Linked DNA regions of Mus musculus. The protein of the gene in region 2 purifies or fractionates together with the protein of the main gene of each other region. This does not show direct contact. Links are inferred from orthologs where the notes say so. Each region holds a gene or a part of one and is shown on either strand. Other genes may lie near its edges.

Region 1 (4,123 bases), on a different chromosome or scaffold from region 2:
AGATGGAGCAGAGGGAGAGGGAATGGACAAGCAATGACTGGTCCAGCTTGAGACCCAGGCAATGAAAGAGAGATCACCCCTGAAACTGTTAATGACATTCTGTTTGCTGTACTTGCAGACAGGTGCCTAGCATAACCACCATCAGAGAGGCTTCACCTAGCAACTGATGGAAACAGATGCAGAGACCACAGCCAAACATTAGGTGGAGCTTAGGGGATCCTGTGGAAGAGAGGAAGGATTGAAGAAGCCAGAGAGGTCAAGAACACCACAAGAAAACCAACAGAATCAACTAACCTAGGTTCATAGGGGCTCACAGAGAATGAACCCCCAACCAGGGAACCTGCACGGGACCAACCTAGGCTCGCTGCACATGTTACAGTTGTGTATCTTGGTCTACTTAACAGTGGGAGCAGGGGCTGGGTCTGACTCTTTTTTTTTTAATTTTTTTATTATTTATTTATTATATGTGAGTACCCTGTAGCTGTCTAAAGACACACCAGAAGAGGGAGTCATATCTCGTTACGGATGGTTGTGAGCCACCATGTGGTTGCTGGGATTTGAACTCAGGACCTTCAGAAGAGCAGTCAGTGCTCTTAACCACTGAGCCATCTCACCAGCCCCCTGGGTCTGACTCTTGTTACCTGATTTAGGGATCCTTTCTTCCTCTTGGGATGCCTCCTCCAGCCTTAAAAGTAGAGGAGGTGCCTAGTCTTAATGCAACTCGATATGCCATGGCTGGTTGGCATCCATGGGAGGAGAGAAAGGGAGGAGTGGATGGGGGGGGGGAATACTGGGAGGAGGAGAGGAGGAGGGAGAACTCTGGTCAGAATGTAAAGAAAATTTCAAATTTAAGAGAGAGCGGGGGAGAGACAAAGAGAGAGGGGGAGAGAGAAGACACCTAGCACACAAGTCCACCCAGGTTTGGTGATACATGCCTACAGGAGACACTTGGGAGGCTCAGGCAGGGAAGATTTTGAGTTTGTGGCTAGCCTGGACCACTGGATTATACTGACTTTCAGTCAAGTCAGTCTCGAAGTCTCTCTCAAAACACTCTTAATGACTACCCCAAAAGCAAGGCAGTCACTGGCTTTTAGCAACAAACCTGCATGCTCTTCCTAGGGCAGGAGAAACTAGGGGCTCCCACGGGCTCCTTTCCTGTCAATCAACTGGAAATTAAAGAGTCGATTTCTTTCTTTGGAAGAAAAGGTGGGGGAGGAGGCATTAAAGCTTAAAGCTTCAAGTCCAGGAGATGAAAACAAAACAAAACAAAAACCTGCCAGCTGGTCCCAGTTTCAAAGTCAAGTCCTTGTTCCCTAAAATCATGAGTCATGGAAGGCAGAGTCAGATGGGTCTGTATGAGTTTGAGGCTAACCTGGTTTGAATATCGAGTTTCAGTCTTGCTTCATAAGACCTATCTCAAAAAATAAAATAAAAATAAAATCACATCCCTAAGAAATTTACTTCTCTAAAAATCATTTCGTTAACAACTAAATCCCTCAACTGAACGCGATATCATTTGATTTCAACCGGATACACGCTGAATTCTAACTTTCCTACCCCGACCTTACCCTTGTAAATGGATCTTCGGTTCCCAAAATGGAGAAGTTGTAAACAAATTTCAGAGAGCAGCTATCATGTTTATAGAATTTAGTTGATGAAAGATTAAAACAGGTGACGCCTTGGGAGGCAGAGGTAGGGGGCAAATGTTCAAAGTCCTCCTTATTAACTTATTATTAAGTTTCAGGGAAGCCTAGTCTGGATGGGACCCACGGGGGGTGGGGGGGTCGCTATTCCGTCTTTATAACTTTGTAAAATATGGTTTCGGATCAGTTAAAAACCAGTTTAAACGTCAGACCAAATCCTAACACGCCAAGCCTTTATCGCTGTGGTAATGGAATGGTAAAGGAAGAATGTAGTTGGCGTGTTTGATTTTAATCCTCACACCATGCCAAAGTTTTGAGCCAGTGATTTCACACGGCCCCCCATTAACTTTTCGTTAGCCTAGCTGACAAGAAATGAACAGGCTGAGATTGCAGCCCGTTTGTCTTTCCAAGCTCACCATGTGAACCAGGCAAAAAGAGGGGTATTGGTAGAAAAGCCAGGGGCACGAGCAAGAGTACGGATCAGTCTAAACTAAGTCCTGATTGAAAGAACTGCTAGAACTCAGGGGAAGGAAGAAAGAAGAAAAGAACAGTTTTGCATTTTCAGCTCTCGGACTCGTTCCAGAATTCCGCAATGACTGCCAAATGCAACGGCCTTGGAACCAATTAACCATCACTCGCGACCTTCCGCGTCGACTCCCAAGAGTGCCCTCCTTCCAGCTCAGTTCTGATCCTACTCGTGAAAGACATGGGGGAGGGCGAACGCATTGCAAGTAAGGGAATCGAGACCCCAGGGGAGCAGGGCGAGCTGGTCCAGGGTAAACTCCAGGGGAGCGGCTCAAGAGTGCTGGCGGCACGGGATGCACAGCGCATTGCAAATGAGGGAATCGGAGGCCCTTGGGGAGTAGGGTGAGCAGGTTCGGGGTAAATTCCAGGAAAGAGACGCGAGAGCGCTCTGGCGACGCGGGGTGTGCAAAGCGCCTGCTCAGCTGGGGACCCGATCTTGGCCTCCGCTCTTGCCCGCCCACCCTGGAGACCCCAGCCCGCCCCACCGCCGCCTGACCTGTCCCCGCGGGGTCCGGGTGCGCAGCGCGCCGCCTCCATACCCGCCCGACCGGTGGCATCAGCGTCCAGACCCCGAGACGCCGCCGCCCGGCTGGAGAGGATGGAGGAGATCGGGCCCCGCCCCTGACAACCACACCCCGCACTGTCGCCGACGCCCATTGGTCCAGTGCCCTACGCTCCCCTCTCACTGGCAAATGGCGTTAGCCATGATGCTGGAGGGTTTCCAGGGGGCGGGAGGCACCGGGAGGCGAAGGCGCGTGCGCTAGATCCGGGAGCAGCCCCCCGGGGTTGGGTCGGAAGAGTCTGCTGCTCCATTCCACCGCTCCGGGACTGGCCCCCACAGAGCGATCCCCAGCACCCCTCTGTGGCACCGAGAACATCCAGGCTGCTGCCTTGGGTTTTCTACTCTTTATCACCTGAAGCCTCAGCATCTGACCACCGACTCTGGGATAGCCGAGGCCTTCAGCCTCCCAAACCAGCCTTTGCCCAAAGCCCGACTGAGGGATCCCTACCTGGGGACCTTCAGCAAATGTCCTTATTTAGTGAGGGTAGCAGCTAAGCTGTCCTCTCTGCAGTAAATCATGCCTCCAGCCATCAATGCCTTTGTGGCTTTGGTCCCTATAGGACTTTATGACCAGAACTATAGCATATAAACTTAATTAGTAAGGCCAAAGTCACACTGATGTTGAATCCAAAAATTCACTTAAAAAATAATGTATTTATTTTGAGACAGGATTTCACTATACTATCCTCGGTTGGTCTGGAACTCTGAGATCCTACTGCCTCTGTCACCCTAGTGCTAGAATTAAAGGCATGTGCCATCGTGCCCTAGGCTATTATGTGTATGTTTCACCTATGTGTATGTCTGCATATCATATGCATCCCTGGTGCCCAAGGCTGTCAGATACCCCGGAACTGGAGTTACAGATGGTTGTGAGTCACCATGTGGGTGCTGGGAATAGAACTCGCGCCTCCGGGCATCCAGGGCTCATAACTGCTGAGCCACCTCTCCAGGTCCCAGAAATTAATTTTTGAAAACTAGGGAATATGATACCTGCACACATAGGCTAGGAAAGCATTGCACTCACTTAGCCCCTCTCCCTGTGGGACTCTGGATTGCTCCTTTGTGTGTGTGTGTGTGTGTGTGCTACAAATCTTCACTCATAAGCTCTGCTTGGTCTAGAAAGGGCTAGTGCTAAATGAGTAGGGTTGAAAGAGATGCTATTTGAATGAGTAAGAGGACCACTGAGACAGGCACATCCACACTACCCACACTAGAGTGTGAGCTTCCACTTTATGTACACATAGGATAAGTTACTGATAGGAATCCATTTCTCCACCACATGTGATAGCGTCATATTTCTTCCACTGTAAACACATCTCAAAACACAAACCTAAAGTACTCATCCGTCCCCTAGCTCTCTGACCCCATCGTATTCACCAACACAGGCCTGGCT
Region 2 (3,500 bases):
CTCAAAGGAAAGATGTTCCCAGTAGGACAAATGTCCTCATGGGGAACTTCCAAATCAGGACACGTGGAGAGGCTGGCATTCCAAACAAATGTAGATACCACAACCCTGCTCATTAAGGGCTCATTTATTCTTAAAAGTCCACGACTTCCTGTTTCCTGTCTCGGCAGCACTCACCTCTCCAGTCTGAGTCAGTGAAGAATTCTTGCTGTTTAAGTAATTCTCAGCCTGAGTCGACTCCTGATGAGCCCGGCGTCCCATCTTGGCCCCCTAGAAGGAGAGATGGAGAGTACGGCTGATCCAGTGTCATCTGAGGCCCTGTGGGTACGACACACAGTAAGCCAGGACTGGGGTCTTATGGCGTGGCAGAGAACAGGATCTGAGTAACATAAATATGTTATATGAATATATATATATATCATATATATGATATATATGTGAATGCCACATGGATGTATCCCTAAACCCTTAGGAGAAAGTACCCAAGTCATTTCTATTTGGTAGAATTGGAAACATACAGGTTATTGATCATGAGATTTTCAACAGCCACAGATGCAGCAAAAACAAAGTCACTGTTCTGTCCATGACACATGGTTAGAAATGCAGCTAGCCTGGACAGAGAGACCTCAAGCCATATAGCTCCAAGCAGGTGGGTAAAGGCTCCCACATTCCTAAGCAGGACCTGAGACCGCTAACAGACAGGCGTTGAGAGAGAATCCTTCAATTCTATGGCAGTTGAGTAATCCAGACACCTCTTGCTCTGCTGGCTAGAGGCGCATCTACAGGCGCGGAGGGAGCCCCACCACAGGAATGCTGAGACGGCACCTTTGGATGCTAAGAACAAGCACCTCGGGGTTCTGAGTCAACAGATGAAACCTGTGCAGGTGTCCTCAGGCCCCCCAAGTGGGCAGGGGCTCTGTCTCCAACATTCCCCAGAACAAAAGAAAACTCTGAGGCACACGAGTGGGTGCTGACGAGTGTCTGTGCGACCATTTACTTAGCAAAGCCAAACCAAACCAGCATCGGCCTAGCATCTTCAGGTCTCATTATCGCGGCTGTGTTCCAGTCTCAAGATGGTATGAATGAACACGGAAACCAATGCCATTTTATTAAAAAGGAAACCAAGGCCCACGTTCCGATCAAAATCCTGTGTTCATCTTATATGTCCCATGACACCCCTCTGAAAACTAGATGCTAACTGTTCTAAGAAGGGAGACAAGGTTTTTAGGAGCCCCACATTAAACAAACAAACAAAACCCACTAAAGCGGATCTGGGCAATCCAATTTCAATCATCAACCTTTCAAGTTACGATGCAAATCTTTTCAAGTTTCAAGAGTGGTGGGAACAAGCTTGCTGATAATACAGCTCATTTCCTTCTCTAGAAAGGGACCCTCTTGGTCTGGAGAGATGGCTCAGTGGTTAAAAGCACTGACTGCTCTTCCAGAGGTCCTGAATTCAATTCCCAGCAACCACATGGTGGCTCACAACCATCTGTAATGGGGACCCTCTTCTGGTGTGTCTGAAAACAGCTACAGTGTGCTCAGATACATAAAATAAATAAATAAATCTTAAAAAGAGAGAGAGAGAGAAAGGCACCCTCCTTTGTTTATCCAAGTATCTGATCCTACAGTAGTTACCCTAAACAAAAATTAATGCTCCTGTGTGTGAATGTCGTTGGCAAGGGACTTCTCTAACAGACATTAAAGTTTAAGACTATTTGGAGATCCTGTACATTGACAACACAGAAAATCTGAGATCATGTATTTTTAAGGGCAGTCTTTTTATTGTCCTTCTCCCCTCGACTAGGGCAAAGGCCAGTGATGGTCTGTTCTGTGCTATCTATCTTTCCAGTGACTAGAACAATGCCTGATATACAGTTGGGCTTGCTACATATCTGTGGCAAGAATGAAAAAAGTCACTACATCCACATCCCGGGTACCCAAAAGGTTCATGTGTCAGAAAGACCTGGTGGCCTAATGTCCTTAGCTTTTTAAAAACTCTGCTCCATTCGAAACCAATTAGCGTCTGCCCCTTTTTATCTCCCTCCAACAGGTGCCTCTCTAACACCCTGGAGGGTATCAAGGCCCTTCAAAACACCTGAGATTTAACATCAGAAACTAAGGATTTGCCAGGTGGCCCAATCCTTCAGTGATCTCAACTCTAAAGGCTATTGAGACCTGGTGGGGATTGTGGCAGTAAGAAAACGCTGAATTGTAGGTCTTTAATCAAGTTCTATCTACTGGCTGGACGCCGGTCATAGGCTGGGAGGAAGCAACAGCGAAGGTCAGGAACAGAGGCAAAACACTTTCCACGAATTCCCCTTTCATCTGCACAGCAACAGTCTACTAGCATGGAAGTCGAGGCTAGGTGCATTCTGGTCCATCTACAGTCCGGTTACCTAGTTACTCCCTCTCCCCGCCACACACACACACAACTGGAGTATTGATTTCCAATCCTGGGGGAGCAGAGATTACAGAGAGCATGAGGAAAGGACATCTCCAGCCAGCTTTCTTCCCGGCCTTTCAGAACTTCCGGGACTAGACTTCCCGGGAGAAAACTCCAGGGAACGGGCGTGGTCGGGGCGGGGGCAGACCCTCCGCTAAGGTGGGATTCGCACTTAGGCGGTTGAGCCCGGATTTGTCCAGACTCCCAGCTTCTCAGAGAGCCGTGCCATTTGTCCCGCCCGCCTAACCGGACCCCAGCCCCCAGCATCGCTCCTCACGGAGGTGGCCGAGCTGCGACGTCTCTCCTCGCCCAGGTCCAGTAAATCGTCCATCGCCGCGGCAGCTGATGTCACTTCCTGGAAACCGGCGTCTCCGCCGCGTCCCTAACAACGACTCAGCCCTTCCATCCCAGTATTTAAAGAGTCCGCCTCACAAATCCTAGGTCCTGTGTGTCACCTTCCAGTTGAAACCAAATCTTGCCTACACCAACTTTGCTTGACTTCGGAGAAAACAAAACAAATTTCCAGCTAGCAAGATCCTCTAACATTGCTCCAAAGAGGTTAGCCCTGGGGACTGCCTACATTTGTAACTCTGATTAAACACATTTGTGATTGGAAGCGCTGCTCTTGGTGATTATCCTGAGCCCTCACATTCACAATGTACAAAGGTCTTCAGGGTTACTGTTCAAGGATAGATGTGCAGGGTTATTTCCATTTGACAGATGAGCACTAAGGTAATAAATAGTTTATAAAATTTACAATGACTGGCAAAAAAGCTGCGTATGTGATTTCTGCATTCAAGAAGTTTATTGAAAGTGGTCACACACCGTGATGCATGCCTGTAATTCCAACACTTGGGCGGTTAGAGGCAGGAAATTTTTAGTTTGATATCATCCTCAGCTATATAGTGAAATTTGGGACGCTAGGGCTAGATTACATGAAACGCTGTCTTTGAAAACAAAGTTTATATAGAGGCCAGATTAAAGTATTCAATCTTCAATCACTTTCGAAAGTATAGACCTAGCCAAGCGTGGTGACGGAGCCACAATCCCAGCTTGT

What was found.
Region 1: the proteins of Ift43 (region 2) and Tulp3 purify together in Homo sapiens (affinity purification with mass spectrometry; 5 studies listed by BioGRID and IntAct, counting the BioPlex papers as one, with this or other methods). This does not show direct contact. The link is inferred for Mus musculus from reciprocal best matches to the Homo sapiens genes IFT43 and TULP3.

What each region holds. Positions count from the first base shown.
Region 1 is NC_000072.6:128,353,074-128,357,196, forward strand, and holds the start of Tulp3 (tubby-related protein 3), read right to left. Parts: upstream 2,779-4,123; 5' UTR 2,706-2,778; coding exon 2,665-2,705; intron 1-2,664. UniProt on the Homo sapiens protein: Negative regulator of the Shh signaling transduction pathway: recruited to primary cilia via association with the IFT complex A (IFT-A) and is required for recruitment of G protein-coupled receptor GPR161 to cilia, a promoter of PKA-dependent basal repression machinery in Shh signaling.
Region 2 is NC_000078.6:86,081,861-86,085,360, reverse strand, and holds the start of Ift43 (intraflagellar transport protein 43 homolog), read right to left. Parts: upstream 2,801-3,500; 5' UTR 2,775-2,800; coding exon 2,721-2,774; intron 268-2,720; coding exon 175-267; intron 1-174. UniProt on the Homo sapiens protein: As a component of IFT complex A (IFT-A), a complex required for retrograde ciliary transport and entry into cilia of G protein-coupled receptors (GPCRs), it is involved in ciliogenesis.